Coturnix japonica: one gene and its partners. The protein of the gene in region 5 interacts with the protein of the main gene of each other region in a biochemical or structural test. Links are inferred from orthologs where the notes say so. Each region holds a gene or a part of one and is shown on either strand. Other genes may lie near its edges.

The links.
Region 1: the proteins of SNTB1 (region 5) and ASNSD1 interact in a test that uses a peptide from one of them, tested with the Homo sapiens proteins (2 studies listed by IntAct, with this or other methods). The link is inferred for Coturnix japonica from reciprocal best matches to the Homo sapiens genes SNTB1 and ASNSD1.
Region 2: the proteins of SNTB1 (region 5) and GUCY1A2 interact in a test that uses a peptide from one of them, tested with the Homo sapiens proteins (2 studies listed by IntAct, with this or other methods). The link is inferred for Coturnix japonica from reciprocal best matches to the Homo sapiens genes SNTB1 and GUCY1A2.
Region 3: the proteins of SNTB1 (region 5) and TANC1 interact in a test that uses a peptide from one of them, tested with the Homo sapiens proteins (2 studies listed by IntAct, with this or other methods). The link is inferred for Coturnix japonica from reciprocal best matches to the Homo sapiens genes SNTB1 and TANC1.
Region 4: the proteins of SNTB1 (region 5) and CYSLTR2 interact in a test that uses a peptide from one of them, tested with the Homo sapiens proteins (2 studies listed by IntAct, with this or other methods). The link is inferred for Coturnix japonica from reciprocal best matches to the Homo sapiens genes SNTB1 and CYSLTR2.
Region 6: the proteins of SNTB1 (region 5) and FRMPD4 interact in a test that uses a peptide from one of them, tested with the Homo sapiens proteins (2 studies listed by IntAct, with this or other methods). The link is inferred for Coturnix japonica from reciprocal best matches to the Homo sapiens genes SNTB1 and FRMPD4.
Region 7: the proteins of SNTB1 (region 5) and DGKZ form a complex in vitro, tested with the Homo sapiens proteins (2 studies listed by BioGRID and IntAct, with this or other methods). The link is inferred for Coturnix japonica from reciprocal best matches to the Homo sapiens genes SNTB1 and DGKZ.

What each region holds. Positions count from the first base shown.
Region 1 is NC_029522.1:4,419,386-4,423,434, forward strand, and holds the start of ASNSD1 (asparagine synthetase domain-containing protein 1), read right to left. Parts: upstream 2,801-4,049; 5' UTR 2,778-2,800; coding exon 1,296-2,777; intron 753-1,295; coding exon 571-752; intron 1-570. Other genes in the region: ASDURF (ASNSD1 upstream open reading frame protein), read right to left, coding at 2,801-2,871, 3,680-3,755.
Region 2 is NC_029516.1:161,689,562-161,693,503, reverse strand, and holds the start of GUCY1A2 (guanylate cyclase soluble subunit alpha-2), read right to left. Parts: upstream 2,801-3,942; 5' UTR 2,656-2,800; coding exon 2,386-2,655; intron 1-2,385. UniProt on the Homo sapiens protein: Has guanylyl cyclase on binding to the beta-1 subunit. Isoform 2 acts as a negative regulator of guanylyl cyclase activity as it forms non-functional heterodimers with the beta subunits.
Region 3 is NC_029522.1:33,283,658-33,287,157, reverse strand, and holds part of TANC1 (protein TANC1), read right to left. Parts: coding exon 3,079-3,500; intron 2,901-3,078; coding exon 2,792-2,900; intron 2,569-2,791; coding exon 2,446-2,568; intron 1,853-2,445; coding exon 1,616-1,852; intron 772-1,615; coding exon 586-771; intron 1-585. UniProt on the Homo sapiens protein: May be a scaffold component in the postsynaptic density.
Region 4 is NC_029516.1:151,145,293-151,149,432, forward strand, and holds the start of CYSLTR2 (cysteinyl leukotriene receptor 2), read left to right. Parts: upstream 1-1,340; 5' UTR 1,341-1,668; intron 1,669-1,783; 5' UTR 1,784-1,858; intron 1,859-4,140. UniProt on the Homo sapiens protein: Receptor for cysteinyl leukotrienes. The response is mediated via a G-protein that activates a phosphatidylinositol-calcium second messenger system.
Region 5 is NC_029517.1:123,525,465-123,529,501, forward strand, and holds the start of SNTB1 (beta-1-syntrophin), read right to left. Parts: upstream 2,801-4,037; 5' UTR 2,758-2,800; coding exon 2,232-2,757; intron 1-2,231. UniProt on the Homo sapiens protein: Adapter protein that binds to and probably organizes the subcellular localization of a variety of membrane proteins. May link various receptors to the actin cytoskeleton and the dystrophin glycoprotein complex.
Region 6 is NC_029516.1:111,273,979-111,276,541, reverse strand, and holds the end of FRMPD4 (FERM and PDZ domain-containing protein 4), read left to right. Parts: intron 1-122; coding exon of another isoform or gene 123-127; coding exon 128-1,482; 3' UTR 1,483-2,063; downstream 2,064-2,563. UniProt on the Homo sapiens protein: Positive regulator of dendritic spine morphogenesis and density. Required for the maintenance of excitatory synaptic transmission. Binds phosphatidylinositol 4,5-bisphosphate.
Region 7 is NC_029520.1:21,144,165-21,147,664, reverse strand, and holds part of DGKZ (diacylglycerol kinase zeta), read left to right. Parts: 5' UTR 1-1,323; coding exon 1,324-2,060; intron 2,061-2,274; coding exon 2,275-2,383; intron 2,384-2,582; coding exon 2,583-2,678; intron 2,679-3,496; coding exon 3,497-3,500. UniProt on the Homo sapiens protein: Diacylglycerol kinase that converts diacylglycerol/DAG into phosphatidic acid/phosphatidate/PA and regulates the respective levels of these two bioactive lipids.

The DNA of each region.
Region 1 (4,049 bases), on a different chromosome or scaffold from region 5:
TAGCTGCATGCTACTGAGGGAACTTTCCAAAGCAGTTTTATTGTCTGAGAGGGTAGGTAAAACATACTGCAGTTTTGCAAGTCGGTGAGCAGTAGTATGGAAGAAGTAAAGTCAAAAACCCAATTCTTAAAGTAGTCTAAAGACCTGGAAATACACGGGATATTGATCATGCTTTGATTGCATGGGCAGGAATACACAGCATTTCTGCTAGTGCATCACAGCCTCTCCAAGGCAGCGTTAAGAAACTCTCCATCTCCAAAGTCAGTCCCCAGGTTACCACAACAGAACACCACAAGGCTGAGAAGGCCACTGCACTTAAAACAGTAAAACCCACTTGATTGTGCTTTCTCCAACATCTGTTGCTGCTTCTTAAAATATCCAGATAGAAATCCAATGTTCATGTTGCTACATTTCCATAAGTATCTTTGCCGTGGTACTACAGATTAACACCCACAGAACAGAATTCAGACACAAAAATGTGCTAACAAGATTCAAATAAAGCTTTTTTCTCAGACTGTTTGAAGCAGAACTTAACCAGTAAAAACCAGTTTTGATTCATGTTAGTATTACCTGGCTTCTTTCCCATGATCACCAATAATCCGGTCGTCTCTACCAAGATTTCTAGAAGAAATACGACCTAACTCCATTTCAAGTTCCTTATTCAGACCTTCTGGGCCACATTTCTTGAAGCAAACACGGTGTCGGGAATAGCCAGCAAGCTGCTCGTCTGCTCCAATGCCTGTAAGCACAACCTAAGAGAAAAAGAACAGAGATACCTTTCTTAATATCTAGGGAAGCTCGTAATACATACCAGATCTTAGAGCTACACACATGAAAACAACATACAAGAAGGAAAGAATTACTCTTTGTGGATTGAACAGTCATTCAATCAGCCTGTAATTACAAAGATTGCAAGCAGTCACCTTTTGTCATTATTAATAGCTACTTTGCCACACAAATGGTGTGCCTGAAGAATACACAAAGTTCATTGTTTTGTTCAATTGGATTAATAGCACTTGCCCACTACTGAGTTTAGACACTGAGAATGATAGGCACTGACTTTTTTCCTAGTCACTACAGCTTATTCAAGCTCACTGAAAATCCATTCACATAAGGAACTAAATGCAGGTTTAAATTCCGGAATTACACAGTTTATCTGTATTGTGTTCTGCCAAAGAATTTCAGAAAGCTTGTGAATATTAAGGAACCCTTCTAATTTCCCAAACAGCTGTTTTCACATTCACAAATTAAGTGTAAGAATGAAAATATGAAACAGTTTAAGAAACAATCAATACCTTTGCAGGACTTTTATATGGCTTCATTTCTCCTTTCTTATTAATAAACCCCTGTCCTCTGGAAGCAAACCAGATAGCACAACCAATGCTATCATCCAAAACCGTATCCAGAGGATAAATTAAGTTATGAATGAATTGCTGTCTCATTTCTTTCAATTCCTTTAGTGTGACATTAATTTCCACAAAGTTCCATGTTCTTGAAGGGTTAAGGGCTTCCAGTTCTTTCAGCCCCGCCCTACCAGTAATTCTGTCAGGAACATCAAAGCGAGATAAATCATCACCAATTTCAGCATTGAGATCTTTATGGTTTTCTTGACCATGATGCAAATTCAGCTGCATTTCTTGGCTGACACAGCTTTTAGTGGCACCTGTTCGCTTAGTTGGTTCTTTGGTCATGAAAGCTACATTGAGAAGATCAATTGGTTCCTCCAAAGGAACGTGTCGATCAGCAAGGGCTGCAATAACCATAGAGTCAACCCCACCAGAAAAGAGCACCGCAACACGAGCCTTCCTGGGACAAACACCCTCAACTTCTCTTGTTCCCTGATCTTCACCTCTGAAGAGTAATAAAACTCGTTTCCTCACTGCTTCATCTAAAACATCAATGAACTGATGGACCAGTATTTTCTTGCGTTCCTCTGCAAGATATCCCTCTAGAGTTTGTATGGAAACCGTGCAGCTAGAATCACTGCTATCAGTGCTTGCATGTTCAACTGAGGCTTCAGAAATGGTTCTGTTTAAGGGGGTTACTGGTGCACTGAGACACATCTTGGACTCATTCATCCTAACAGTGATGTGATTTGGTAAGTCTTTAGAAATCTGACCCAGAACATCAATGAATATTTCTTCTTCAGTTTTCTCTGTGCAATTGTACTTCCATGGAAACAACGTTAAAGACAAGGATTGAGTTGTTGCACAGTCTTTGAGATCCATTTTGAAGATTCCAGATGCTGGGACTTCTTGGCATTGGTTACAAGATTCTGAATTCACACTCACAGATGAAAGACAGAAAACGTTATCATTCACATTACTAAACTGCCAAAGCAAACTACGACGACCAAAATAATCTCTACCAAACCATAAGCTGTGTCCAGATGCCTGGTAATAAATAAAAGACCACGGACCCCGGAGCGATGAGAAGAGCGATAAAATATCAGCTTCACTACTGCACAGTCCAAGATGATGAAACATAACCTCAGTGTCATTCTCTGAATCTCCTACATGTACTCCATTAAAAACTTCTCCATTCCAAAGAAAAACATTGTTATTGACATCTTCCAGAGGCTGAGGAGTCATCTGTCCCCTCAGATGAAGTACGTGGCCAGAGAAAAGACACTCATAGGATGGCTCACACACAGTCTTTATCAACTGTTGGCTGCTGTCTGGTCCTCTTCTTCTAAGAAGGCAGTGCAGATCCTCATTGAAGTGATCATAAACAGTACTCTGGCCAGATAGAGCAACAACACAACAAATACCACACATGGTGACTGGAAATTCAAGATGGACTATTTCTTGACTTTATTCTTCTCCGAATTTTCCAACTCTTGCTGTGCTTTCTTTAATTGATCTAATGTATCTGCATTATTAAAAAAAAAAACAAGAGAAATGTCTAAGTGAGTTTAGATCTAAGAATTGAGTGTCATTAATTACTTGATGATTTAAAGACAGGAAAACTAGGAAACGCACATGCTACAGTATTGATCTAATACAAACATACCTCACCACAATCTAATTATCATTACTTATCCATAGATTAAGTTCTTTTCCCCCTTGAGGAAATTCATACTGCAAGTTTAATAATGTAAATGAAAAGCCAATTATTGCCTACATCATCAGCACAATTTACACACTTTTAGTAAGAAAAATGAATAGACAATGTGTCAACACATTAAACTCCAATCAAAAAAGATATGGGCAACTTTTCATTCCAGAAAGAAATTGTATACTTTCACATTTATTTCTAACACCCTTCTTCAATTAACATATGTCTTAATCTTCCATTTCCCTATCTTGTTAATCCCACAAATTCATTCTCTCAGCTGCCTAAAGATGTCTAGCTTCACTTTCAGTTTCCTAAGGGTTAATAATTAAAAAACAGAAGGAGGAGAACTGAGCACACAGAGCTTCCCAAAGGGCACTAAGAAAAGCGACTCCTCTGTGGAAGGACTCCCTCCTGTATCTTCAGCACATGCTGTTTTACCACACATGCAAATCAAGTGGGAACCACATTCATTCAGCCCAGAAAAGCAGGCACAACTGAAGTCCACTTGGTATTTAACATGCAGTTGCCAGCTTTCCCACTGTACTACAACTTGGAAATCTTCAACAGCTACAGAGACAGCTTTTAAACAGTTGAACTATTACCTTTGGTGCAGCAAACTTACTTTTGCATTGAGACAGTGTTTCTGTTCGGTCTACAAGGAAGAATATGTTGCTATTGGGTTGCTGCCTATAAACTTTCTGTAAAATAAATACAACACCACATTAAGTAAAAGTAGCATACACAGGCAACCACACTGCAGCAGAAACTCACTGAAGTCCACTGAGATACCCTTCCCTTTTATGTCTGAAAGATACCTTCTCTGCCATGAGCAATGTCCTCATGTCGCACCAAAACATTTCAGGAACAACCCACAACCATTCTGCATTTTCCTCCTTTCCTCATACTTAAAGGGTCATATTTTGTTTTACATCATATGCACATGAAAAATAAAGAAGCTTTTAACATAAACTGATCCACTCAAACATCATAAT
Region 2 (3,942 bases), on a different chromosome or scaffold from region 5:
TCACCCCTGAGCTCTCTGCATGCATCTCTGCAGCACTAGACACACACAGAACATGGAGATACAGTGAGAAATTTTGACTCAGCATCTCAATCCCAGCTGTTACCAAAGGAAAGAACAAAACTAAGTATTGGCATCAGGAACCTGTAGCGTCCTTCAACTTTGAAAGTGTTCAGCACTGGGATGTGAACAGATTGCTGCCGTATTAAGGCTAAAATGCACACACTGAGCCTCTGCTGGCAAGATCTATTTTATATATATTCACACACACTCTACATACATCAGTGCTTCCATACTTAACAGAAATCTTTATGGATTTACAGAATGAAGACATACCTACATCTGCATCAAAGTATTAGAGCTCAGAAAGAACAGTTGTAAGTGCACCCTTCCAATTTGCCTTTAAATTTTAAAAATAATGGGAACGACTCTAATTCAGCACTAATTGTATGGCCAGTGTCATTTTTTAACTTCTATCTGAAGTTATTCCTGATTTAGATCAACAGATGTGAGAAAACGATCAGATTCCGAGTGTCAGACAGATGGTAACTGGACTTGTTGCAAGAAAGCATATATTCAGCATCACAGAAAAGACTCTCGAAAATATTAAAGAAGGCACCAGAACAACAAGGCACTTGAAGAGTGATGTGTCGGAGTCAAGAACGAAAAGATGAGAAACCGATTCCTTTCTCATACCAGGATGGCACCAATGTGACTTTCCCAACGTAAATGCCAATGACTGGTGCCAAAATGTGTAAGACAGAATGAAACTGCAGTTACAGTGCCAAGATAATAAAAGGAGTTTGGGAATATTCTATATCATATGAATCACATATTGAAATTAATGAAAATAAAGATCGTTACAGCAGTAAGGATTGGGATAATTATCTCCAAAGGAAACCAATGGAAACTGTTTCTTGGGACATGGAAGTGAGGTGGGATGAAATTTTTGCACTCTTAGCTTCAGTTTCCCCAGGAGCAGGAAGGAAGGAGGACTCCGAGACCGACCCAAGTTTTCTCATCTCTCAGTTCACAGAATCTGTTTATTTTTTCAAACATGTTCAACAATGAATGAAAGCTGTAAAGCCGTAACCGTCTTTTATTGCTTCAGGAGGTATCAGCCAAAGGGATAATACAAACAGTAAGGTTATCTAAAAATACTGCACTGAGCTACTTCAGAATATTTCCAATATTTCGGGTAACACATGCTCTAATTATACCCCAGCATCATTAACAAATTAAATAGCTTCATTTTTTGGTACTAAAACAAGGCAAGTCACCTGAGATACCATCTATTAATTTCAGCATGACAAGCCTGGGTTCCCAGTGGGGAGATAAAAAATCAATGGGAAAGAGAAGTCTTGGCTGTAAGCGGACGGCTGCCGGCTCGGTCACGCACCGCTAACTTCCCCCATTAGGCAGCCTGGCTGCTCGGATCCAGCCTGTTCGAGCAAGGAAACAGAAAAGAGGAATGAAAAGCAAAGCACACCGACAGCAGATGGTGATGAGATTCAGAAGTCATCTCCAAAGCCGAATAAGAAAAAGCCAAAAAGACACTGCAATGCCACCAAATTCAGCAGATGTGACTGCCGTGCGGATTAGGCTACTTGTTGCAGTCTACGTTCTACACCTGAGCACAGTAAGGTATCTCAGCAAGCAACAAGCGTTCCCTTACAGCTGTAACTTCATGAGGGAAATGTAGTGATGGTCACAGAGACAGCAGTGTAACACAGCTCTGGAGAACGAGCTCCTATTGCATACGCAGCCAGCGCAGCTCCGGAGCTGCTGACTGCAGTCACCCACAGCAGTGCCCGCACGCCTCACACGTTCAGCACCAATTCTGTTCTTTGTGGCATATGCACTGCTTCACTACAGGTGTAGCTGGAGACAAAACCATCAATCACGGACCCCAAAGTGCCCTCAGACGGCTCTTTCAGGAATGTGGGCACATCAGAGAGGCTCAGGGAAATCTGTTGCTGCAGTATTTCTGAGAAGAACACACAAACTTTCTTTTCACCTCGTTCAGCAAGGAAAAACCCTACGAAAACCCTGCCAACGCAAGAACATCTCCTCTGCGGTAAAGAACGAGCATGCTATGCATATACAGACGTGTGTAACTTTTCATACAGAATTGCTGCTAGCACCAGATGGCAATAAGCACTTTGTGACTCCGGATTCTAATGCCGAGAACTCGGCTGGAGTGCGGAGCGGGGCAGCGTGCGCCTCCCGCCGCGGCTGCCGAGCCCTGCGCCGCATCCCGCATCCCGAGCGGACCGGGCCGGTCCGGGGAGCTCCGCACATCGCTCCGGGGCTCGGACTCAGGAGCCGGCCCTGGAACAGCCGTCGGGAACCGCGCATGAGGAGGCCGGGCGGGCGCGGAGCACTCACCGCGGGGGCCGTCAGGCGGCGGATGCTCTCGCCCAGCGAGTCCAGGTTGACCCGCCGACGGCGCGGAACGCGGCGAGCCCCGGCGCTGGCCGCGGCGGCGGCGGCGGCGGCTGCGGCGGTGAGAGGTGGCTCGGCGGGGCCGGGAGGGCTGCGGCTGCCGTTCCAGCAAAGGCGGGACAGGGGACACTCGCCCTCCTCCTCGGGGCTGGTCTCCGGGCAGTCGGAGCCCAGCGAGCTGAAGGACTCGGAGGAGATCTTGCGGCGGGACATGGTGCCGCGGGCCGGCGGGGCTCAGCGCAGCGGAGGGCAGCGCGGGGCCGCGGGGCCGCGGGGGCGGCCGCCTGGCATGGCCGCGGAGCCCCTCGGCGGGGGGCGGCGGTGGATGCGCTCCGGGGCCGCTCCCGGCTCCGCGCTTCGCCGCGCCGCTCCGAGCCGCGGGTGCTGCGCGGCGCCGCCTCGCCGGGAGGCTTTAAAGCGGCGGCGGCGGCGGCTGCCCTCCTCTGCCTCGGCCGCCCTCCCTCGCTCTCCCCTCCCCCGGCTCCCTCGCTGCTCCGCGGGAATCACGTGTTGTTTGGAGCCCTTTCCTCCTCCTCCTCCTCCTCCCTCCTCTCCCCTCCCCGCTCGCCGCCTCTCGCACGCCGCGGCCCGGCAGCAGCCCCCTTAATGCCCCGCTCCCCGGCGCCGCGCTCTCCCCCCCCTCGCTATAGGGATGTCCCCGCGCTATGGGGATGTCCCCGCATTATGAGGGTGTCCCCGCATGGCCCCAACCGTGCCCGGCCGCGCCGCCTCCGAGCCCGCGGCGGTGCTGGACAGCTCCCTAAGCACGGGATGCCGGGGAAGGCGGCCGTGGGTGCCCGGCGCCGGAGGACTTCACTGAACGGCACAGCTAAACCTTAGGGAAATGGAAGGTGGTAAATATCGGAGAAGGCTGAAGGGCTGCCATCAGTTTTCAGAGGAAAAAGTTCTTTTCGGCTCTGACACTGTGGGTTACGTCCGAAAGAGTAACTAAACTCGTTCCCTGTTGTTACAATCCAGCTACAGTACCCATGTACTGTAGAAAGCCCACAAGGAAACATGCCCTCAGTGGTAGAGTTTCATCCAACCATCAAGAAAGACATTCATTCATCTTCTGTTGAACAAAACTTCCTTTGAAAGCAATGCTTTTAAGATCGTTTTTTCTTTACCTGTCCTCAGTATTATAGTATACACTTTACCACCTCATCATCTGAACTATCTGAGTGCAGCCTTGACAAAAGCCCACCTGAGATATTGGGAAGAGCACCGCAGGCATAGAGAGCTTTGGAGGATGGCCCAACACAACCCAAGTTCAGAAGGCCAGGTAGGCAGCTCTCAGAGAGGACATGGCGTGAATCACATATTTCACCAGGACATTCCTTTCAGTGCCACCATCTCTCAGCTCACCAGGTTTCTGTTGCAATTTTCTTCTTTCTCTAGAAATTTATATGGAGTAAGAGAAACAACAGAGCTCCTTTTGTCATGGCACAGTTCTTAAATCTCTGCATCTTGAAGCCTGTGGCTTAAAAGGATGTATCAAAA
Region 3 (3,500 bases), on a different chromosome or scaffold from region 5:
CATGGAATTTTTCAGGATGCATGAGAAGTGCTACACAGAATGTACGGAAAATACTAAACTTTGAAATAGTAGAATGTAATTTATTTAAAATTAATGAAACATTTTTTCTAGCTGAGAAAAACAAAAATTAGGATAAAGGTAATTTTTTATAATAGATGAGATCAATTTTTCTCATAATTGAGTAGTTGGCTGCTTTCACTTCCATCAGTGGGTAACAAATAAGATTTTTTATTAGATTGAGTTAATCATGAATTCAAGTTAACTGCAGTTCAGAATCCTCAAATGCATCCTGTGAAACAGTGAATATTATCACTACCACTGGAGACATAGTACAGCCTCAAGAACAGCAATGAGAAAGACAGAGTATTACATGTAGACAAAATTCTGAAGCAATTCATTGTGTAGGATATTTAATTACAGCACTGGAAAGAGTTTCTAAGAATGCAGAATGCTTAAAATATCAGAAATTTCAACAATTCTGCTTTAAAAACCCTTTAAAAACAAAACAAAGCAAAACCTGCAAGTACTGTTGTACCATTGTGATAAATTCCAGCAGACCAGGAAATATTCCAGTTATCAACCTACCTGACAGTGCCCCATACTGGAAGCTGCCGTCAGCGATTGCTGCAGTGCTTGGCTTTTTCGTAGTGAATTTTGTTCCTGGGAAGAAGCTATCCAAACAACATTCAGAAGATATTCAAGGATATCACAATGCCCTCTCAGTGCACTGTGGACCAAAGCACACTGCCCTTTTTTGTCTAGATAGTCAGCCTGCATTGGAAAAAATAAAGTTAAAAAGTCTAGTGAAAGGTCACAGGGGGAAGGGAAAATCATGCTTAACCAGCCTGGTGGTCTTCCACAAGAAGACAAGGTGACTGGCTTGGCAGAACTGCACATGTCGTCTGTGCTGCCTTTAGTGCGGCTTCTGACACTGTCTGCCATAACACTGTCACGGACAAGCTGATGGACACACATAACACAACATTCAGTGGTGTGTACCTAAAACTGGCTGAACAGATGAGCCCAAGCACAAAGTCCATCTGGAGACAACTCATTAGCAGTGTACTCCTGTGATGAACAATGGGCCTGAGACTGTTCATCAGTGCCCCCGTATGATGGGACAGAGTGCAAACTCACCACATTTGTAGGTGACAAAAAACTGGAAAGAGTGGCTGATATGTCAAATGATTGTGCTGCCATTCTCATGGACCTCAACAGGCTACAGGTCTGGGCCGGGACTGCAATAAAGCGTACAGCCTTCCAGCTGGGAAGGAACCAGGCATCAGTTCACAGAGAGGGACGACTGGCTGCGCTGCAAAGGCTGGAAGAAGGTCAGACCTCTGCATTTTGTACTTGGCTTTCTAAGCAATAGAAATGCAAAGGTTTTGATGGTAGGTGCGTAGTCCTTTGGAGTAATTATGAATGCATGTAAGATTAGTCATGGACACGATCAGAGAGAAAACGTTCTGTTGAAAAGTCTGTGTACACGTTCTGGACTTTCTTTTTGTACTCTCTGTGTTAATTATATCAGCATATAGTTATGTAATCAGCATCTTTCTTAGGCCCCTGCAAGACTTTTGGCTGTGACAACTGCAGCCTTTGTGTCTCAGCTCACCTTTGCTCCCTTTTTGCACAGCAGTGAAACTATGTTCATGTGACCCGCAGCTGCTGCATAACATAGTGGGGTCATTCCATTTTCTGATGTTCCATCAATAGCAGCTCCAAATTCTAGTAGAAGAGTCACCACTTCCTCATGTCCAAGGTGTGACTGAACACACAGTACTGGAGCATTATTTAGTACTTCAGTCTTATAATTCACATTTGCACCTGCCGAGATCAGCAGCCGACTGACCTAAAATTTAATTTAAATAAAATAATTTTTAATTCAAATTGGATTGCATTAAAAAAAATAAAAATGTGAGTGTGTGCACATGTGTAGACAACCAAACTTCCAATCAAAATGCACAGCAGTTTTGCTAAAATAGGAATGCATCAATCCCAATCCATAACCTCGGGCATTCATCTCATAGAGTGAAGCTCTGCCATTTTTCATCTTGTTATCACAGTACTTCTTCTTTTCATTCAATTCACTTGATACTTCCTCCATACAAGAACATACAGACCCTGCCCAGCAAAACAGGTCATACCTCTGACCTCCTGAAAAGGCATCCTAAGTAACAGAGTGTGGCTACAACAAAATCAAGGTGAAATCTTTCTTTACACCAAACTATCAAGGAAAACTGAATGGGACATTAACAACATGTTGTTAATGTTAACAACAAAAGTACTTGCAGGCTTGTTGTAAGAGATTTCAGTTACTGGTTACAGATGCACGGTGTTTTTGTTTTCTTCTGAACTGTTACATTAATTTCAACATTCGTTAACAGAGTAATAGCAACAGTGGCAGATGGAACACTGATTATACACGAGTGCTCATTTTCTTACCTTCACATTGGGTGTATAGATGTTCCTCAAGGAAGCGAGGGCTGCAGACAGTCCATCAGCACTATAACCAATCCACAAGGCTTGAAGATGACTGGAAGAAATTCCAGTCCTTTTACTGAGACCCTAGCAGGAATGATACAACAGGAAATCTCTCTGTAGTGTGTAAAAGACTATTTATAGCTATATTTCATCAGTACAAAAAGAAGATAAATTTTTTGCTAATGCCAGTAACAATTTCAAGTATTTTGTACAAGCTTCCAACAAATTATTAAAGCAACTCAGATTAGCATCTCTAAGGTACACTGATACATACAGATCCTGAAATCTATTATGTTAATGGATTTACCTTAAAAATGTGAGCTTTGAGTATGTGATGCCCAAGTTCCATAGTCTGTTGGCGGTTTAGTTTTCCCTCTTGTCGAGAAAACATGAAAGCCAATAAAGCATGTCCATTCCTAGTAAAAGGAACAGAATTCAAAGAGAACAGCATTTATAACTACACTTTCCAGTAAACACGGAAAATATTAGTCATGTTTGCTTTTTAACATTCATCTGTCCTCTCAGCAATAGCTGAGATCAATTATGTAAATAACTGCAGTTATTTGAAAATGACTTCTTGCAAGCTTCGTTTACCTTGGCTCACATAAGAAGTCTGTATTTTCACCATCCGCTCTCCAAACCAGCCATTCTCTGAAGGAAGGGTGGCAGAACATCCGTGTTTTGTCACGTCTTTTTATCAGAAAACACGACAGAGCTTCCATCCTTTGGCTGAAGTCTTCCCATTGCTGCTCTCCATTTATTTGACCTGCATTAATAGCTTGGAAAATCTGTTCATCTGTCATGGGATGTAAGGATGCCAGAGCCACGTTTAATATTGGCAGGGCTCGCTCAAACGCAGAGTTGGTCATAAACTTCATGTTGCACTGAAGTAAGTACAGTTCTGACAGAGACACTGGAACTACCTTGTAGCTTGCACTTTTGATTACTAAATGACCTTTTTGGAAAAGATCCAGAGTCAGTTTCAAATAGAGATAAGATCCCAGGCTTCTCATGAT
Region 4 (4,140 bases), on a different chromosome or scaffold from region 5:
TGAAGTGGTAGTTCCCATGCTGCTCCTTGTTGCGCACCACTGCTTCCTCCCAAAAGGCTCTGACACTGAAAGCTGTCCTTCAAGCCACTTGTGGGATCATTTCCTACTCTGCTTCAATCCAAAGGGAATGAGCTGAGACCTCCTGTTTCAGGTGTCTGGGGTGAATATCTCCAAGGCTAAATAGGGTTTGAGAGCACACATTTGAGCAACTTTGCTGGCAGACTTTGGACTGGGACAGTAAGCAAAGCAACTGGAAGAGGACAACTATGCAAGGCCCTCAGTGCAACGAGAGCAGGCAAGGTCTGAAGTTACTAGTCTAGTTCCTTTATAAGCTGGTTTTCCATGTCCTCCTTCAGGTCTATGCTTTAAAAAGCTTATAGCACTGCTTACAAGCTGTATGTACCTCCTCCCTGGTGCAGGGATCTGTGAGCTCTGGTGACACTCACCTACACAGCCACTGCCTGCTGCAACTCCAGCCCCACATGGGGAGCAATAGGGCTATTACACCTCTTTGGTAGTCCATGTATACAGCTAAAGTGAAGAGCACTAGCAATAAATGACAGTGAAGTGCAGGTGGCCAACAGAGGGGAGATTACAAACAGGATTGTCCAAAGCAATTTGGGATGTAAACGACTGTAAGTGTAGGTGGTGAGGTTTGCTGGGAGACTCTCCAGCTACTGAACTGTAGTACATAGCAGGATTCCTGACCTACTGCCAGCTATCACAGCACAGCTGAGGCTGGCAGGGCCCTCTGGGTCCCTCTGCTCCAGCCCCTGCCCCAGCAGGGACACCCAGAGCAGGGTGCCTAGGGCTGCATTCACGCAGATCTGGAAGATCCCCAAGGAGGAGATCCCACATCACTGGGCAGCCTGTGCCAGTGCTCTGTCACTGCACAGCACAGAGGTATTTCCTGATGTTTATGAAATGAAACACAGCACCTAGAGATACATCTGGTCCTCCCGTGTGTGTTGACAGAACAGAAGAATAAACAGTTACATCTGCCGTGTGTATAGAACCCTATTTCACAACTGCAGTAAACTAGGAGCACTCATCTGTGCCATCTGTGTTTGGATGTGGTGCTCAGGGACATGATTTAGTGGAGGGTTGTTAGAGTTAGGGTAGTATGGTCAGGTTGTGTTTGGACTTGATGATCTTAAGGTCTCTTCCAACCTGAGCAATTCTATGATTCTATGATCCTGTGATCACTGTTGCAGTAAGGCGTTCACTGCAGCTTCTTGTTATGGCCTAAAATAGCAACGTATTTACTCCCTATCAGCGGTCAAAAAAAAAAAAAGCAGTCCCTTGGCTCCACAAACTCATCCTTGAATTGCTTGTGCTGAATATGGTTACTCATTAACCCCTAGAAGCATGCTTATGGTTTCACTCATTTCTGCACGAGAAGCCTGGGAAATAATGCTTCGTAATTCCACAGACTCCAATTACAGTGATCCATGTGAATGACATACGGGAACCTATCCTAAGAAATCAAGCAATGCCAGTTACTGAGAGTGCAGATATTTAAGTGCGGCCCAAACACAGGAATCCAGACAGTTTCCAGATGCTACATTAGCTGCAGGGCCCTTTTTGTTGGGCCAAAGCGCATGCGACACTGCCGTGCGATTGCTAGCAGCCCTCCTTGAGCTGAGAACATTTCTCTCTTAAGAAAACGTAAGATCTACTAATCAGGACCTACTTCCTTTTCTTACTACTGTTTGCTCTTGTGTGGCTTCTGCGTAAACAGCATTCGGGTTTTGCTTCAAGTTTTTGTGCTTCTGATTTCCAGCAACAAAACTGAAAGTGGTAAGCAACAGTGGGCAGAAGAAGGAGACCGAGCACACCAGAAGGCACACCAGCTGAGGTAAGACAAGGCTTGCCTGCTTTTTCTGACATAGATAGAATAGCTGCAGTGAAGAAAATACAATCTGCTTATATATTGCTTGCGGTAAGCTTTGCATATGATAGAAGCTGTGATCGTTAACTAAATTTCTCTATGACAAAGTTGGGCTTGAGAATTTTCTTTGGCAGAAAGGGTGGATTTATGTAACTTGCAGTGCTTCCAGATGGAAGATGACAGTCAAGTAGTGGGTCTGATTAAGTGAGTGCTGGCTTTTAACGAGATGACAAAAATATGTGGTCAATGGCAAACTTAAAATTAAAGAGGCTAGGAGTTAGAGTCTGAATTTATTTATCTGTAATATTGTGCATGCAGCGAGGTTAATAAAGCACTGCATGTTTTGGTGGATGTAATTCACTGTTAATTCCAAATACTGCATTCTGCTACATTTATTCTTGGTAACGCTACTCCTTAAAACACAACACGAAGACAGCAGAAGGAAAGCTAATGGGAACTTTGAGACATGTCAAAACTTTTGGTTTTCTCGAGATACAGAGGCAGATGCAAGCAATCCCAAACATAGCAGCAATGCCATGACTGCCTTAATATTATGAGTATGGGATTGTTGTGGCAGAAGCCTTCTTCTGACAGAGGACTGTTGTGATAGATGCACGGAGCACCTCCTTTTCCTGACATACAAACGGATCAATATATTTAATCTCTTAGGGCAAAAAAGACATGTATTTTGAATGAACATTCTGATACCTTTATTTATCACTGCATGTGCAGAACACCTCACCGAAAATATGTTCTCTGTGTTATAGAGATCTCAGGGTTTCAAAGTAGCGGATGTGAGAAACTTCTCAGTCTGGAAATGGAGAGTTTCCCTTTTACACTTTTAGCAGCAGCCTCTTCCAGCTCACCTCCCCCAGTGAGAGGAGATGACACAGAAAACAGCCCTCTTCTATCTGCCTGACCATAGACTCCCAACAGCCCTGATGAGCACCCCATGTGGGAACACATCAGTAGTGGTACATTCACACTATCCACCTCCTTCAGGAACCTGTAAAGCTTGACTGCATGTCTATCCTGTCTATGCTGAATTTACCCATACTTTTGAGTCCTTGCTCCGTCACCTTGCTGATTTCACTCACCCCTCTCTGCCTCTTCCCTAACTCTATAATGTCTTTTTTTGGGGGGTGCAGAGAGCAGAACTGCATGGCACATTCACTGGGGGAATGCAGGAAGGTTTTATACAAGGTGATTTTATACCAGCTGACCCAGACTTCTTGGTGATGTGACTCATTTTCTTGAAATTCTTGTTGCTTCCGCTGCAGCTTATGCAGAAATGACTTTGGCAAACAGTCGATGATGGGTCTATCACTGATGCCAAATGCCCTTTCCTCACAGTAACAGTTTCAAGTTCTGTATCATGTAAGCATGGTTTAGGTTATTTGCTCCAGCATTTATCACCTTCTACTAAAATGCTCATCTGCCAGCTTTCCAGCATGGCATCAATGAATGTCAGTGGGTGTAATTTTTTCCTCATGGAAGAGCTCTGTGACACTCCTTTGCTTCAAACACACGTCCTTGTCAGACACCATTTTGTCAGATTGTCCCTCTGATGCCATCTGCCAACAAAATGTAACAGGATGTTGTTGGGTAGGTTCCACATCTACTGCCATACCATTGCCTTCTGACTCTAATGTCATGGGCCAAAACAGTAAAACAGGAGGCATTACTTTTGGAGCAGCTCTCATATATATGGAAATCGGTCTTGGGGGTCAGTAGGCTCCCAGGCATCAGGACTGCTGACTCACAGCCCCCAGGCTTCTCTCCCACGCTGTTCTTGTAGATGAAGAGCTGCCCTAGTGATGCAGTGGTCCCCTGGAATGGCACATGATTATAATGGTGGGTTATGTGCCTTGGACAGCAGTCCAAGTCTGAGAGCCTTTGGGGTACTCATACAAATGTCATCTGGTCCTGATTACTTATTGGCCTCTCATCTGTCTATTCAGTTTGATATTTCCTACACATGTATGTCCAGTGCATCCAGCTCCTCCAACCTTACAGAAGTTTTGTTGAATCCTCTGTGATTTGGTTGTTGCTGTTGTGTGGTTTTGGTTTTGTGTGGTTTCTTTTGATTGTTTGTTTGTTGTTTTTACTGTTTTCCTATTCCCTCTAAAATGATGTCGATTTCTTGGTCCTGGGACTGCTCCTCTCTCCCACAACACTGACACTGTGAGTCCTATCATGATTGCTGGTACAGTGCTCCCTCCCTCCCTCCTGCCAGAACTGGGGCCTGT
Region 5 (4,037 bases):
CAGTTTAGTGCTGAGCTGGTAAATACCTCGTTTCACTGAGCAAGCAGTTTTAGAAGGATGCAAAGCCATGACGTCGGGTGCGCTGAGCCACAGCCTCAGAGCTGACCACTTCAGCATGCACAAAACCCATAAACCCTTTCCTGGAGATCACAACACCTTGGGTAACACTGCAATCTCCCCCTCACACCCTAACATCTGTCCCTCATGTGTAGCACCTCATGGTGCCTTTTCAAATTCTTTAAGCCCAAGTCAGCTTTTCTGCTCTGTGAGACACAAGCCTCTGAATCTCCTTGAAAACATGCATGTTATATTTTGGTAATACACAATGGCAGTGCCCTGCTAACCAGAGCAACAGCCCAGAGAGGAACTGTGCAGGGATTCACCCCAGCTCAGGGTGCTCCTTGTAATGCACAGCTTTCCAAGAAGTCGGGAAGCAGCACGTTCCTCTTGTCTGGGAGGTGAGGAAAAGCAACGCTCTTCCCTCCCGTACTTCAAAGGGGAAAAAATCTTCTGGCTATTCCTTCCCTTTATAGTAAAAAGACCATTTTAGGCTGTGCTACTGGAGAAAGGTCTCTGAAGTGGGAAACTGAATCCTTGGCTTACACAAGCCACTCAAGCAGAGGTTCACAGAATCCTAAATTGGAAGGGACCCCTACAGATCACTGAGTCCAACCCTAGCTGCACAGAGCAGCACCTCCTGGGGACACGCCGGAGACAATCCTGTATTTAGATATTCTGCTAAAACTGCAGAAGAAAACCAAGACAAATACTGCTTTCAGCACTGGAGTATTTTAAACATCTAAAGGGAGGACTACTGAAAGAGACTCTCAGTTTACAACTTACAAATTCCACTGCGGGAACAAGCACTGAAGCACATCAGCCTACACCTCCACGGAGCAAAGAAATGCAAGAAAACAGCTGCAGAGGCCAATGGAGCAAAGAGGAGTCGTCCCTGCTCAAACAGCTTCAAGTGTGCTCCTACCAGGAACAACTCAGAGTTTTTTAGCAGGCTTATGCAGCAGCAGCACAGTCAGGTGCTGTTTCCACAGGCAGCGTGCTGTGCGCTCCTCATTAGATCACAGCACAGGTCAGCTGCTGCTGGCCTGCACCCCGGGAGCCCCGCACTGTGCAAACAAACCAGTGGCACAATTCCGACATCACCGCTCCATTCAGACCTCAGTGAGTTTACATTAGGACTTCACAGGAATCTTTGCATGCAGTTAACAGGGAGGAGACATGGTTTGGTCATGGGAGCACAGGGCACGTGGTGGCCCTCAGCTTGTTAAAGCCTCACAGCAATCCCCGCACAGGTTTCACTGCAGTGTGGATGGCACTGAGCAGTTTCTCAGCAGCCAAAACCACAGATTAAATTTTCTCACCTCCCCCACCTTTACTGCACAGAACCACTTCTTAAAGCTTTTCCCATAACTTTGTGCCACAGTCAGTTGTTTGCAGCTGATGCTCATGTGTATCCCTGAACTGGCAGCAGCACTTCCTCTGCTTCTTAGAACATAAAAGAGACATGTGAAGAACTGTGTTTGAAGGTTACCTAATGCGCTGCTGGGATACCAAGGTAGGGGCACCCAGGGCTTGGAGGAAGGCATGGGGATGGCACAGTAGCACACTAAAAATGCCAATGACCTCTGGTTAAATGAACTTCTGGGCTAAGGTGCAATCACTTTATCAAACATATGCCAAGGGCACTGCTCAAGCTGTTCATTCTCTCAGGTCCAGCAACCACACAAATCCCGGGAAGAACACAAGGACTGCACGTCCATGATTGCCTCCCTCCTTATGAGCATGGTGTCCTGGGGAGTTATTCTGCCTCTGCTCAGCCCTTGCCAACAGTTGTTTCATGGACAACTCCCATACAACACATATACACACCATGCTCCAGACTCCGTTTCTAAAGCTGCTTCTTACCAAACTCAGTCATTCCCAGACACAAAACATTTGTGGGGATGGTTTCTGTGTCAGGAGGTACCAACAGCTTCCTCAGAGCCCACTCCCCCCGCCAAGGCCCGGTTCAGCCGCCGACTGTCGGGGCTCCGCAGTTTGGTCGCGCATCGGACGGCAGAGCCCCGACTCTGGCCGCTCTGCGGAGCCCCGACAGCCGCGCGGTGCCATCCGTGAGGCTCCGTCCCCGCGCCGTCGGGGTTCCCTACCGAAAGGGCGACCGGAGCGAGGCGCACGGAGCGGTCCCGCACCCCCCTCCGCCGGCAGCCCCGTACCTTCCAGCAGCACCTCCTTGCCGGCCCGCTTGAGTGCCTGCACCGCCTCGTCGTGGGTGGCATCCCGCAGGTCGGTGCCGTTGACGGCCAGGATGGCATCGCCCACGTAGAGGGCCTGGGTCTGGTCGGCCGCCAGCCCCTTGAAGATCTTGCTGATGAGGATGGGCATCTTGTTCTCCTTGCCTCCCTTGATGCTGATGCCCAACCCGCCCAGCTCCTGCTTCAGCACCTTCACGCAGCGCTTCTTGTTGGAGACGGCTTCGGGCACCTGCTCGGGGGGGTCGGTGAAGGCGGTGCGCACCGCCGAGCCCCCGCCGCCGCCCTCGGCTCCGCGGCACGCCGCCCCATCGCTTCCCAGCCCGTTGTGGGCCGCGCCGTCGGGGCGCTCCTCTCCGCTCAGCACCAGCGCCTCGCCGCCCAAGTTGGCCAGCACTTTGTGCCAGCGCTCCCGCACCAAAACTTCCAGCCAGCCGCTGCGCTGCGCCCGGCCGCCCCCGCCGCCGCCGCCCGCCGCCGCTACCGCCATCTTAGGAGCATGCTGGAAGCGCCGAGTGACGGCACCCCCGGCACGGCACGGAGCGGCGGTACCGGACTTCAGCCGGGGGCGGTGAGCTCCCGGCGCGGCGGGGTGGGGCGAGGTGCCGCGGCCGCCCCCCCGGGGCCGTGCCTGGGCGGGCGCACCTGGCGGCACCGCCCGCGGAGCGCGACTCCGTGCGGGAGAGCGTGCGGTCGGAGGGTCCGGGAGCTCCGCGAGCTCCGCACTCCCAGCTCCGCTGGATGGGCAGCGCAGGGTGAGCGGCGGACCTTCCGCGTCCCGCCGTCGCCGTCAGAAGGCTCGACTTGGGCTGAAAGCCGCCGAGAGCGGGGCGGGGGCTCCCGGCTTGTGCGGAGGAGAAGCGTGCGTTATCCTATGACTTTGCACTCATGAGCGTCCCTTCGAGCTGAGCGCGTTTACCACCGAAGGGATCCACTGAGAGCAGTGGTGTCAACCCCTCCATCCCCTCCCACCTTTTGCCTCTCCGTTGTGTAGCAGCGAGGGGAATGAAAGCAGTGGGATAGAGGAGAGTAATAGTGCTATCGGCAGAGAAGCTTTGGCAAAAAATACAAGTTTATTTTTCTCAGTTGCTTCTCGTAAATAAACGGATTAACACAAATAGTTGGTACAGAGTTAGACTACTTCAGTTGGGCAATCAAACTTGCTTCGCTGCTTCGGTGGATGAAGATGGTAAATGATTTTCATGAACCCTTTTGCAAATTTTTAAACTTTGTCCTTTGTTTGCTACGTTTTAAGCCCCGTGAAGTCCAGTTCTGCAGTCTTTCCCGTGCTCTCTCTCCTCCTAGGATGCAATCTGGTGCCTGATGAGTAGCCTGAGTCCCCAACTCAGTTGTGAAAGTGGACCAAAAAGGTCACCCTGGCAGCTTTGAGGTGTCATCAGCCAGTCTGGGTGTGCTGCTCTGAAGCAGTGTCACTGCAGCCATTGAGAACACCTCAGTTTCCCCTCCATCCAGGATGGCTCCAACTCCTTGTCAGCTGGGCTGAAAACTACAGCAGTTCAGGAGCACTTGGCATGTGCCAAGTGAGAGAGGGAACGGCCTCAAGTCGAGCCACGGGAGATTCACATTGGATATTCAGAAAAGTTTATTCTCTGAAAGAGTGGTGAGGTGTTGGCACAGGCTGCTCAGGGAGGTGCTGGAGTCACTGTCCCTGCAGGTGTTGAAGAAACGTGGCACTGAAAGCTTAGTGGGTGTGGTGGTGATGGGTTGATGGTCAGCTTAGATCATCTTTTTCAACCATAATGATTCTGT
Region 6 (2,563 bases), on a different chromosome or scaffold from region 5:
TGAGACCACTGGAAAGCTCCAGCAATCAATTTACCCTACTATTAAAGATACTTAAAATCTTCATCTCTGAATATTATCAGGGTGATGCTTAATTATTCTATCTGCTCTTCTACTACCCCTAGTGTAGCTTTCACAGAGCCTGAAAAGGGAAGACAAGGAGGCATGCCTGCAGCTTTTCCTAGACAGCCTCTAGCTGACTCCATCATGCTATCATCCACGCTATCAGAATCAAAGGTGCCAAGTCAAAATCAAGACTCTTGTGACATTCCCAAAGTAAATCAGGCTTGTGGGACAACAGTTAGTTTACGGCCATATGACATGATAGGTGGAAGCCTCAGGATGCCGCACAACAGGAAAGTGCTGAGACGCAGTAGCAGCATCATTGGAGGATCTGCAGGCATTGAGATGCTGTTTGAAAGTAAGGCAGCCACAGCCAGCTTGAAAAGCATGGATACTACCCAAAGGGAAGAATCCAGATCCGAGAGAAAGGTGGAACTCTCTCCGGGCAAAAAGCTGTCAAAAAGTTTCTCCCAGAGCTGTGTATATGTCAGCACTGATAGGAAGGACAGTAAGAGGTGTTCGGGCACAGGCACCAGTCAGAAGGACTCCAAGCAGTGTCGAGCGTTGCCATTGCGGAAGCTGGACACCAGTACCTGGAGGTGTCGTGGTCCCTTTAGCTACTGCTTCCTGAGCAGAGGAAATGATGACAATGATGATGAAGATGATGGAGACGAAAGCCATCAGCTCTCATGTCTCTTCAAACCGGAGATCCCGTGTGAGCTCGCAGAACCAGCCAGTCAGTCTTTTTCCAGTGAAAATGAACAGAAGGACTTGGAGTCCCCGGAAGCTGATGAGTTCCCACAGGATGAGGCAGTTAATGAACACAAGAAGAGCAGTGCTGACACCCAAGGTGGCCAAATTGATGTGAATCTCAATGATGTGGCCTTCGATGCACGAATCGCGCGAATAAATGTGATGAAAGAGAAGATGTATGAAATGCCTGATGGATTTATTGCAGCACAAAAGGATGCCAATGAGTTACTCTCACTGGTCCGAGCAAGTATGGGCAAGAGAGAAGATTTACATCCCGAAACATATGACCTTAAACTTTCTAAGTACAAACAACTGTTATCTATGGAATCTAGACAGTTGGGAAGTGCCTGCAGGAAAATGGCCATGGCTGATAAAAGCCCTGAGGAAATGCTTTTAGCTATGACTTCCAGCTTTCAAGTACTCTGTTGCTTAACAGAAGCCTGCATGCGTTTAGTTAAAGTCATGAACTCTGAAACTCAGCAGCAGGAAATTATAGCTAAGATAGACGAGGTTGTAATAAACTACATTTGTCTTCTGAAGGCTGCAGAAGCCGTGTCAGGCAAGACCTCCAGTGATCCTAGCATTAAACTCTTGGCTCGACATTCAACTACCATGGCCGCTATTGTAAGCACACTAACACGTTCTCTTAAAATGCTTTTAAACAAATAAAATACAAAAGTCACTTCATAATCTACCTTTGCAAAGCCATACATTAAAAAAAACAACAACTAAAAACCTTTTATTTACTTTATGTGTATGAACTAATGTAACAAATCCAGCTTTCTCTGTATATTTTGTTATTTTATATAAAATAGGTAAGCAGTTAAAAATATGATAAAACACTGAACACTGACAACAGTGCTGACCAGATCTGTCCTTCCGTTTATACAAAAAGAAAAGCCAAAAAATCCCCTCTCCCCACAACCAGGAAAACAAACAGAAAAAAATCCTGTAGAGGAGCAAATTGACTTTTGGCTATTTTTCATATAGTCAAATCTATGGTTGTATGAAGTGAACTTTTAAAGTCTGTTATGTCAATTAAGTTGTTTTCTGTTTCATCCAAGTTTTCACTTGGAGAATGCTCCGTGTTTAGAAATGAAAAATGAGATCATAATGTATATAACACAATATTTAATGTTTTAAAATTATAATTTTTAAGCATTGAAAATAGCGAAGAGACATTTAAAATCCAAGAGACTATTATAAGTTACTAGAGAATATATATATAATAAATGACTCTTTTGTTCATATTGCCTGAATTACCTGATTCTTCTTTTCTAGAAAGTTCTATATTTAAAAAATAATATATAAAAAAAATAGAAGGTATTGAATATACCGAGTTTAGAGGGTATCTATCTGATGTATTGAACATTACAGTGTTGCATTTCAGACAGTGAACGTACCTGCAGAAGACAGACTGAGGTCATAGGAACCAGAATGGTGATGGTCCCTGAAAGGAGAATTTGATGCCATACTGATCAGATCAGAATGTATAGGGTGGATGTGCCCTGGTAAATGAGAGACACGACCGTCAGGAAATTCCTGTGCTGTTTACTGTTTCATCATAAATCTATGGTGCATCTGAACAACATGAACTGCATCTATTTTGTTAAATATTTTATACTTCATATTTTATGATTCTGAATGTTTAACTGTAAATAAGTTAGAAATAAAATGAAGTTTTCAGAATACAATAAATATCTATGAAATATTTCAAGCCAGAAACAGTCCTTCTCTGAGTGATGACAAA
Region 7 (3,500 bases), on a different chromosome or scaffold from region 5:
ACATGTTTTATTAGTTCATGTCATTTTTAACACCTGTTGGTGATGATGCAATTCATTGCAGTATCCCACTGATGCTGGGGAGAAGGGGACAGGAATGGAGTGCTGCAGTGACAGGGACAGGCTGGAAGATGGCTGGTCAATAAGACATGCTTAAGTCCTCTGGAAAAGCCTTGTGGGCCTCGGTGGTGTGATGGGTAACTTGCTAGACACTGGGTGGGGATGGGTGTACATGCATTACTCGCTGTGATGGAACTTGAGAAATCCCTCTGAGGAGGTGGTACTTCGTTTTTGCTTTCAGTTGAGCAAGGCTGTAACTCCCCTAATGCTGCTCTCTGAACTGCACATTCTACTGGAGAGCATCACTATTTTTTTCCCTCCTTGTCCGATGTTACTGAGTACAGATTTGGCAGTGAGACTAGAGACTTCCTTGCATAACCAGGCTGGAGGCAGAACCAAGCCCTACCTTTCCATCTCCCACCTTTGTAGCAATTGAAGATCCAGAATTTGCTTCTACCGTGCTCTTTAGAGCCTTGAAACAGATTGGCTGGAAGAGAAGCACTAGCTCTGGAGAATGGGAGTGCTGGTGCTAGTCAGAGTCAGCTCCTTCCGCTCCGACCTTTGCATGCTAAGCTGAGAGCGCTGAAACCGCTGCTGCAGCAGCTTCCATCTGTGGCCCAGTGCTTTTCACAGACAGCTGCAACGTCCTGGCAACACACTGAGCTCTGAGGAAAAGGTCAAGAGACCCGTTAAAGCTCTTTCCAAAATGAGAGGGAAGTTTTGAGCAGGACAGATAGGACGATTTTCCTAGTTCTCCTCCGCTCCAACTTTCTCAGCCAGGCTCCACTAAATGTGCCTGCCCTGCTTTGACGTGCCTGATTGTTTTTCTTCTTTAGTGCTTAGTTTCCATTTGCCACAAATTCTGTGGGCCTGCTGCTGCTTGTGCGGAACTGTTACAGCTGCAGCACGAGGAGTGCCAGCACCAGTGGAGCAAATAGCATGGGGCAGTGAGTAGGGATGGCCTTGCTAGGGCAGGAGCTCATCCGTGGAGCGATCTCACATGTGATTCTGAGGGTGTTTTCGTCAGGCTAAGTTGTGAAAATAAGCATAGACTGCCTTAAGGAAGAGCTTTGCTTTGAACTAGAGAGGCCCAGATGCTCCCAGTGGGTCTCAGGGACTGGACCCAACACCATAGCACCCAGCTCTCAGCTCAGCTGTTCTGCCTGCTTTGCAGACGTGGGGCCATCGCCAGCCCCACAGATCTGTGGGCAGCCTATTTAACTCCTGCTTTCTGTGTCAACAGCCAGCGCCCCACCGCCAGGCACAATGGAAACGTTTTTTAAGAGGCACTTTGGGAAGAAGGGGCTGCCAGGCCCACGTCGTGCCAGTGTGCTGGCAGTGCCCACGGGCAAGGCCCGCCGCCGCTCCCAGGCTGGGCTGCCCTCCGCTTCACTGGCCCAGCGCCGTCGTGGCTCGGGGGCCCCGCTGCCAGCCCTGTCCTGTTTGCCCCTGCCCCGCCGCCGTGGTCCCCGCCGTCGCTCCAGCACCACACCGCCGTGCCTCAGCCCCCGCTTTGCCGTGCAGCAGCGCGGGGGCTGCCCGCCAGCCATCAGTGCCACACTGCTGGGGCCCTCCGTGCTGCTGGCCGGCCTCCTCCCCACCGGGCAGGAGGGTGCCGGGGATGCCTCCAGCTCCTGGTCTGCAGAGGATGGCGATGGCAGGTTGGATCGGGGCAGGTGGTGGGCCGAGGAGAGCTGGCTGAGCGTATTGCCACGGCTGCGGCCGCTGCAGGTCAGGCTGCTGACACGGGGCCCTCGCTGCCTGCGCCGCACATCCTCCCACTGCCTGCCCACTGACGTTGGCTGCAGCCGGGCTCCCCATGGCCTGCCGGGCCGCTACCGTCGCCTCAGCCAGCGCCGCCGCTCCAGCAATGTCCTCTGGCCTGGACTGCTGGCCACCACTCACACGCAGTGGCTGGCCCAGCAGTGCACAGGGGCTGCCCTCCCCGAGTGCTTGGGACCAGAATCAGCCTGCTGCCCCGACGGCTGGAGCCCCAGGCTGCTGTATGTATGGCGGTGCGCAGGAGGCAATGCTTTGGGAAGGGGGGATGTGGTGGGCAGGGAGGGATGGGCAGGGCTATGTGTACCAGGGAAGGCTTCTTCAGGCTCCACAACATTCTGGGGAAGCACCCCGGGGCTTTTACCTGACAGCCCGGTGGGCTTTGACACGCCATTCTTCCTCTCCTGATCTAACAGCTGGCCTTCCCATGTTTTCCAGGAAAGCTATTGCCAAGTCCAGCCTCCAGCACATGGTAGCCCAGCCAAACCCTGCACTAGCGCTGAGGAACGAGTCAGAGAGGCAGATACGCAGCACTGTGGACTGGAGCGTAAGTGGTGGTGTGTGTTGCTGGGCGTTGTGTGGGACAGGCTCCTGGCCAGGATGCAGCGGGCTTCCAAAGTGACTTCGGCTTTGACACTTCTATGGCCTTCACTGTGCCACCATAACTTGTCCCTGGCACAAAGCAGTTTGGGACAGGGTGATCATTTGAGGATGCTCAGAGGAGCACGTTGTCTTGTGTCTTTCAGGAGACTGCAGTCTATGGGGAGCACATCTGGTTTGAGACCAATGTCTCTGGGGATTTCTGCTATGTCGGGGAGCAGAACTGCATGGCCAAGCTGCTGGTAAGTCGCCTGGGGTCAGCCGCATCCCCTGCGTGCTCCTCAGCTGCGTGCTGTGCTGCCACCCAGCGGAGAGACCCAGAAGGCCCTGGTGCTGGGAGAACTGGGGGGCTGGCAAGACGTGTTCCTCCGTCTCTGTGTGCTGCAGCGCTGCATGCCCAGTGTCTGCCAGTGCTGCCATTCAGTTTGCAGCAGGTGCCCAGTGCAGGGCTGCATGCAGCTGCAGGTCACTGCAGGGAGAGGTTGTTGGGATCACACATGCTTAGCGGAAGAATCTGAATTCAGCTTCTCTGGAAAAAACTTACAACAGAGGGGAAGAATGAGTGGAGATCCAGGTCTGCTGTCTCCTGTCCCTGCATGCTGTACTGGAGCCCCAACAGGCCTTGCAGCAGCATAGCTGCACTTCTCTCTCCCTGCTTGCAGACTCAATCCTGCTCATGGTGCTGGATGTGCAGCACTGATGCTACCGTGTGCCTGCCCCCTAGCCTCATAGTGCCTCTGGATGAGCCAAAGCTCTGGGCCAGACCACGAACATGCTTCCCAAACAATGTCCTATGTTGTTCTCTGGCAGTGTCAGAAGAGCCAAGGACTGCTTTGTCAGTGGGAGAGCACTTCCCTGTTGTGCTGCAGACTCAGGAGCATCTGCTCTAGGCACATACTTAGATCCTGTAACTGGCGAGGTGTCTAGATTGTATGAAACTCCTGTACTTGATTTTTACATCCTGAAATGTATGAAGGAAGTGTGAGAAGTGGTTGAGTTTCTGGCCTCCTTACCCTGCTGTTCACATGCATGTTTTTCCTCCCATTTTCTCATCCTCCAGCAAA